Solanum lycopersicum: one gene and its partner. The protein of the gene in region 1 binds, or shares a complex with, the protein of each later gene. Links are inferred from orthologs where the notes say so. Each region holds a gene or a part of one and is shown in the gene's direction. Other genes may lie near its edges.

Evidence for each region.
Region 2: protein LEO1 homolog (region 1) and protein PAF1 homolog share a complex: the UniProt entries of both Arabidopsis thaliana proteins name them as parts of the nuclear PAF1 complex. The link is inferred for Solanum lycopersicum from reciprocal best matches to the Arabidopsis thaliana genes VIP4 and ELF7.

The regions. Positions count from the first base shown.
Region 1 is NC_090802.1:61,885,925-61,889,815, reverse strand, and holds the start of protein LEO1 homolog, read left to right. Parts: upstream 1-1,078; 5' UTR 1,079-1,190; coding exon 1,191-1,313; intron 1,314-2,386; coding exon 2,387-2,829; intron 2,830-3,168; coding exon 3,169-3,301; intron 3,302-3,378; coding exon 3,379-3,555; intron 3,556-3,891. UniProt on the Arabidopsis thaliana protein: Component of the PAF1 complex (PAF1C) which is involved in histone modifications such as methylation on histone H3 'Lys-4' (H3K4me3). Involved in regulation of flowering time. Required for the expression of the flowering repressor and MADS box gene FLC.
Region 2 is NC_090802.1:66,089,712-66,093,539, forward strand, and holds the start of protein PAF1 homolog, read left to right. Parts: upstream 1-953; 5' UTR 954-1,471; coding exon 1,472-2,385; intron 2,386-3,026; coding exon 3,027-3,095; intron 3,096-3,828. UniProt on the Arabidopsis thaliana protein: Component of the PAF1 complex (PAF1C) which is involved in histone modifications such as methylation on histone H3 'Lys-4' (H3K4me3). Involved in regulation of flowering time.

The DNA.
Region 1 (3,891 bases):
TTATTTTAGGTTATTAATTTGCTATTATATATAAGGGCAACTTTCACATATAGCAAACAAAAAATTCATATTTGTATGCTATAACAAACTTTGCATAACTGCGCTCCATAGCAAACATAAAACTGTATAATTTGCTATACATATACAATTGTATAATTCGCTGGCCTAAATTGTATAATTCGCTGGCCTATTTATCTGCAGTTGTATAATTTGTTTTGCATACAGTTGAATCGAATTAAAATGTATGTATATTGCATAATTATAGGTGTATAGCAAGAAGATATATGTTTTTCTCTCTTTATACAAAAACAGAAACACAATATATACACTTCTGTTGTATAAAGCTAGAGAAAATTGTATTTCATTGCAATTGTATAATTCGAAATTGTATAATTCGTTGGCCTTTTTCTCTGCAATATTTGAAGTAAAATATTTGTAAATTGTATAATTAAGTGTATAACACAAAGATATACATTTTTGCATGTGTATATACAATTTTCTCTCGCTTTATACAAAACAGAAACAAAATTATACACTTCTGTGTATAAAGCGAGAGAGACGAGCGAGATTTTTGGGAGAGAGACGCTGACAAATTTTAGCTAATGTTTGCTATGGAGCACAATTAAATCAAACCCTAGCTATTCCATTTAATTTAGGTTATTAATTTGCTATTATATACAATTTTCCCTATATATAATTATCTCTAAAATTAATGTATATATTATTTTTGTAATGCATTTTACTAAACGATCGGTAAGGACATTTATGACTTCTCCTTAAAAGAACTAAAGCCCAAAATAAGTTTGAAAACATTTTTGACTTTGTTGTGAATAAATCCAACTCAGATTACAAACAGGGACCCACAGTTTGTTTCGCTCGCAGACAATTTCCATCACCGCTTAAGATGCTACGTGTGAAAAGTACGCAATGGGTCACCGCTTGTAACAAATATAAAAAAGACAAGCAAATAAAAATTGGAAAACCTAATTATTTTATATTTTCTTAAATTTATCATTGGTTTGTCATGTTTTATCTGTGACTGTCAGTCAGTTTAGGGAAACCTTTTAATACAGGTGTGATATTACTCAGCTTCACACAGTTTGTGAGAGGCGTTACAAAACAGTGTTCAGAAACTCAAGGGAAAAAGGCTAAAAAAGCAGCGAGTTGAAGAGAGAAAGCAAAGAGGAGCCATGGTGGGTGAAGAGAAGAAGAGGCATCAGATGATGCAAAACCTGTTCGGTGACCAATCGGAAGAGGAGGAGGAAGAAGAAGAGGAGGTCGAATCCGAACATGAATCCAATCGTCAGCCTTCGGTTCGATTTTTTTCTTTTTTTTAATCTGAATTTCGATGTTTTTTGCTTAATCGAGTTGTTTTCTTGTTGAATTTTTAGTCGGTGAATGAATGCTATATGTTTTTGTTTGATTTTCTGCGGAATTTTTGAACTTGGCCCTAATTGGTTGGTGATATATCAGATATGTTTATTGGTTCTAAGGGTACAAGAATGATTTTAGAAGGGCTTTACTCCAATTTAGTACTAATGTGAAGGAAAAAAAATCAAGAAAAGGAATCTTGAATAATCTGTTTGATCTTTTTTATTTTAATCTGAATTTCGATGTTTTTGATTAATCGAGTTGTTTTCTTGTTGAGTTTTTAGTCGGTGAATGAATGTTATATTTTTTTGTTTGATTTTCTGCTGATTTTTTTGAACTTGGCCCTAATTGGTTATATATAAGGTATGTTTATTGGTTCTAAGGGTACAAGAATGATTTTGAAGGGATAAATGAACAGGTTTAGTGCAATTTAGTACTGCTGTATGAAGGGAAAAAAATCAAGGAAAGGAATCTTGAATAATCTTGAATATGTGTAGCCAGTTCTGTGGTTTGAACGAACTTACTTGTTCTATGGCATGTTAGCTGAATGAATGATGAAAGAGACACTATTTATAGTATTACCTTTGAATTTCCTATTGAATGAATTTGTAAAAGTTGAATCCTATTTGGAAAACAAGAATTAGGGGATGCTTTTCCTATAATTGTCGGTATATACATTTTGTACCGATGGTTGGAATCGTGGATGATAATCTCTGATGCGCAGTCTTATTGCTTATTGGTGTTATTTATAGATGTAGCGTATGAAGATTTACTGGGCCATAGTACTGTAGTTTTCTTTGATTGTTTCAGCCCTCTACTTGAGGACATTACTTGAAGTGATCTAACATGCTCTCATGTGTTTATGTCTTGGTCAAACAAAATAAAAGCTTCATAATTCCAGTCAATGTTACCTTTGCTTCTTGGAATTGGAATTCACATTTTTCATTCTTCTCTGTGTTTGGTTACATAACATTTGGACTTTGAAACTGTTCCTTGCTACTTCTTTCTGCTTCAGGATGACGGGGATGGAGGCTTGGATCCCGAAGGCGAAGGAGAAGTTGATATTGAAGGTGAAGGTGAAGGTGAAGGTGAAGGTGAAGGTGAAGGTGATGATGATGGTGAAGGTGAAGGTGAAGGTGAAGGAGATGGTGATGTTGAAGGTGAAGTAGAAGGGCAAGGGGAAGCTGAGATGGAGAGTGAAGGTGAAATGCAAGAAGTTGATCCTGGGCATGGAGAGAGTGAGGGTGAAAGAGATCAGAGTTCTCAGGAAATAGAGGTTGGTGATCAGAGGGCACAAAGTGAAGGAAGAGAGTCAGAGAGTGATGAAAAAGAAGAATATGGTCAAAGAGTAGTGACTAGTAGGAGGCGGGATGTAATTGACAGTGAGTCAGAAAGATCTGAGGAAAACCACTACGGTGACAATGAAGACGAGGAAGTAAATCAAGCAAGAAGTCCAAGGTATTGCTGTTCCTTCCTGTCTCTACTATCTCCCCCCTTCCTCCTGATGTTTTTGCTCAGGGAGAATGTAGATTTATGTTATGGTATTCTCATAATCAGCTCATGAGTCCTATTGCAACTGCTAATTGCTGATTCTGCTAGGGTTTATTTATTGTAAAATCTTCATATCATTTGATATCAATTAGCATGTGGACAATAGCATAAAACATATTATAAAAGGTTTGGTTGCATAAGTTGGTTGGTGGAATTTCGATTTCTCATCTTGGAAAATGGAATTCTTCTCTATGTTGTTTTTTAGCATCCAATTTTTTTTTATCACAGTGATCTTCTGTTTTGCAGTAGATCTCCTGGGGAAGAGAAAGATGAGGCCCACTTATCCTCTGCTCCGGAGATTCGTGATGTGTTTGGGGATTCAGAGGATGAAGAAGAGGCTGATTATGTCGTTCGGAATAAAATTGATGAGGAGCAAAATGTTTGTACAAGTGCTACACATTTCAACTTTAGTAGTTGTTTGGTTCACTTAGGGATTTAAAATATTTTTCATTGCAGTTAATGGATGAAGAAACTAGCTACGGCAAATTGCAGCAAGAAGATATAATACCTGAAGATGATGGTGGATACGAGTCTGAAGAAGAGCATGTGGAATCTAAAATTAAGGAAAAACCAGTTGGGCCCCCATTAGAGCTGGAGATCCCATTGCGTCCACCACCAACTTATTCAGATAACGTCAGTACTCTTTCTTGTTTCTACTGATGTAATTCCGCAATATTTTCGTGTCACCCCCCCTCCTGCTTAGTTTGCAGCTGAGTTGTCCAATTTCTAACATGGATTCTTTAAATCCAAGGTATTATGTCTTATCCGCTGTGAAAACCTTGGATAGATTTTAAGCTTCTATTGGAGAAACTTCTAATCAGGCTAAACTGTGTCCAGTTATTTCTTTTTATAACTAGCAAATTCAATTGGTCCACAAGATGCTATTGCTCATGTGGAGTTGTGATATATTTAAAACTTCATTCATGTTTGTCATTATCGTTCCGCCTTTTTATCAACCCGAACCTTAAT
Region 2 (3,828 bases), about 4.2 Mb from region 1:
TATATGGTTGGGAATTTGGGTAATTTTTCCACAAAATAAACTTTAGCTTTTTAATTTATAGTATGGTTTAAGCATAGTTGTATTATGCTAGCTTTCATGTTTCTCAAATCATTAAACTTTTTTAAAATTGAATAAATATCTATTTTTAATAAATTTAATATTTCGATAAATGTATTAGAAAAATGATTTTATAATTAATAATAAAAATAAATTAGAAATTAAGTGAGAAAATATCTTTTGTTTACTAAACTGAACAAGTAAAAGTGAACATTCATTTTTAGTATTATGAATAAACAGAGTCGTATGCAGGAGGGAATTATCGGGTTCATATAAACTCATGCTTCCAGTTGAAATAGTAATGTTGTATATTTTTCTTAATTTTTTGTTAAACATAAATGTGTGATCACACTTGATGTATCATATAATGCGACGATGATTGAATGCACCTCTCACTGAGATTAGAAATTTGAGTTTTATATCTAAATTGTTCTATGTTTCTTTTTAAGATTTAGTAACGTCTTTATAGGTGGATATTGATAACAATTTTTTGGCGGTTTAATTTATTAAGCATTTCAATTTTGAAACTGTAATTTAAAATTCTAACCGTTGTCACTAATAGGAATCTAACTGTAATTTAAAATTCTAACCATTGTCACTAATAAGAATCTAACTGTAATTCAAAATTTTAACTGTTTTCAGTAACAAGAATCTAAATATCAGATCTAATAGATTCGCCTTTTTATAATAATGAACTTATTATTTCGAAATCCTGAATACTTTTCTGTGAATAAATAAACATGTAAATCTCGTGTCTCGTTAGAAATTGATGTTACTCTCTTTATTCTATTCTAAAAATAGATTGTTACTTATTCTTCAAATTATTTTTCACCATTAGTAAGTGATATTAATTATCATTTTTAATTTTTAAATAATGTGCAAAATTTGAATTGGACAAGAAAAGAGTAATTTTTTCTTATATTTGGTCAAAGAAAGTTTTTTGTTTTTTTTTTGGGAAAGTTGCAAAAACATAGGCGACGGCTATATATTGGTGATGCTAACTCAAGTGCCAATTTTGCTGAGCTAAACAAACACTTTGTCTCCTACTCAAATTCCCTCTTCATGTTCCAATTGATTCCTTGTTTAATTTGAACTGCTATTCGTTTTCTCTGTGTTTCTGCTTCATTTGATTGATTCGAATTCGAATTCCATTATCAAATTTGAATTGCAGAATTGAGAAGGGGTTCAATATTGTATTGGGTTAGGTTACCCAGTTTTTGGATTTTGAGAATGCTGAATTCAATGAATTATTTGTTTTGTTTTCATTAGGGTTCTTTTGATTTGATTTTTTTTTTGTGTGTGCGCGCTATAGGTAAATCTGAAGTGGTAAGAAAGAGGATTTGTGAATTGTAGAGCTTATTTTGTGGTTCTAGGGTTTTAGTTTGCATTTGGAGGAGTTGTTGTTGAGTGTCCCATGGCTTCGTATAGGCCATTTCCTCCATCATCGCAGTCGAGTTTTGTTCCTCCGCCACCGCCTCCGCAGAATCAGAACCCTCCGCCACCGCCGTCTCAATCCAGGGGAAGTCAGTACTCGCAGAATTGGGGGGGTTATGGGGTGAATGATGGATCTTCGTATGCTCAGCAGAATTACTCTCAGGTACACCAGGGTTCAAATTATCAGCATCCTGGTTACGTTCCTCCACCTCCTGCCACCAGAAATCAGTATCCACCTCCGCCTCCTCCTCCTGCGGATTCTTCATATCCACCTCCCCCACCACCTTCTGGGCAGCCTCCTCCCCCTCCTGCTCCAATGTATTATCCATCTTCTCAGGACTCCCAGTATAGCCAAAACCATCCCTTGGAGCCCCCACCTCCACCCCCTCCACCTTCATCTCCTCCAACTTCTGCTATTCCTCCTCCTCCCCCACCTTCTCAGCCACCGTCCCCTCCGCCACCTCCTTCATCAGTTCCCCCTCAGAAACAACGTAATGAAAGCAGGCACAGTGTAGAGAAAAGGCGAGAGTCTGGTTGGCGTGAATCAAGGCATGGTAACCACACTGCTCGTTCTAAACAGCCAGACCATTCTGTTCCCCCATTGCCAATGAAAAAATCCAATGCTCATTCAGGAAGGGTTGAGACTGAGGAAGAGAGGAGGTCAAGGAAGAAGAGAGAGATAGAAAAGCAAAGGCATGAAGAGAAGAATAGGCAGCATTTGAAAGAATCACAGAATAAGGTTCTGCAGAAAACCCAAATGTTAACTTCTGGTACGAAGGGTCATGGGTCGATCAGCGCATCACATATGGCTGACAGAAGAACCACCCCTTTGTTAAGTGGAGAGAGGACAGAAAACCGGTTGAAGAAGCCGACAACATTTCTTTGCAAGTTAAAGTAAGACGTTAATTCTGGATTTACAGCCAAGTGATTGTTTGATCCTTAAATATTCCAATTATTCTATTTCTATGTTGGATTAGTTACCTGATATTTTCTAGTGTCGGCTCTGCTGGAGATTGGAGTTTTCAAACACACTGGTTGGTCGAAAGTAATGTTTAGTTTGGGATACTTCGGAATGTTACATACCATTATATGATTTGACTTTCCTTGTAATGAGACGATAAATAACCCTTTAAGCATGCAACTATAACCTTACCATTCACCCCCATAGCACATGACATCTTGTTGCGATGCTTTGAGATCCTTTTTAGTTTGTGCTTTCTTCTAGTTCTGTTCAAATTTGTTCTTGTCGGTGTGGTTTCAGTTTGGGTCGTTGTAAGGGTGAACTTTACATGTGATGTTTGTTCCCTAGGGTAGGTTGGTGATAAACTTAATGAACATCATTTATTCAAATGGTAAGTGTATTTAGTTATTTACTGAATGACTTCTCTTCTATTATGTCATGTCTTTGAAAATGTTCCTTTCTCTGTTAGGATTATTTGTGAAAAGACTATGGTATGCTATCATATGGGACAAACAAGTTGTTTTACATATTAAATATTGCTGAGCATTCTGTAATTTTTGTGTGTTCTCTGCAGATTCAGAAATGAATTACCAGATCCGACAGCGCAACCAAAGCTTTTGACTTTAAGAAGAGACCCAGATCGGTTTGTGGCTCTCCTTTCATTGTGCTGGTCCTTTCACTTGTATTTCTGATGATCAATTCAACTGCAACTGCATCTTCTGACAAAACTAGAAAAAACTAAGCAAATCATGCTCTTTATATGTAGACAAAATGGCTTATCAAAAAATATTTACACAAAATATTCCATCTAGAATGTGCACCTTTTGTGAAGGTTGTCAGGGTTAAATGAGACTTCTTTCCCAAGCACTGCTCACAAGCCTTTTGTGTTTTTCCCCTTGAACATTTTTATCGTGGATTGCTGGTTTGCTACATATGCCTAATTTGGAATTGTGCTTTAACCATCACCTCTGGTTAGTCTGATCCAGAAGTAGTTAGGCTGTCGCTGTTGGTGTGAGAATGGGACGTGGACACAGCTATATCTTCTCTCTCTTAAACTATTTTATCAAGCTGCCTACTTTGTTGATTTTCAGTTGTTGATTTTCAGTTGTTGAATAGCCTCTCTACCCTCCACAGGGTAGTGGTAAGGTTTGCACACACTTTACCATCCCTAGACCCCACTTGTGGGATTTCACTGCGTATGTTGTTGTTGTTGCACAGCATTGCCGTGCTCACTATAAATCATACTAGGCATGAATTTTTCCTAGATTGGTCTTCAATATTTGAATAATAATATTGCTATCTACCTATTAACCAATCAACTATTGTTTTTATGGTTATTGCTACATTTCTCATGTTAGATGTTAGTCATTGCAGTT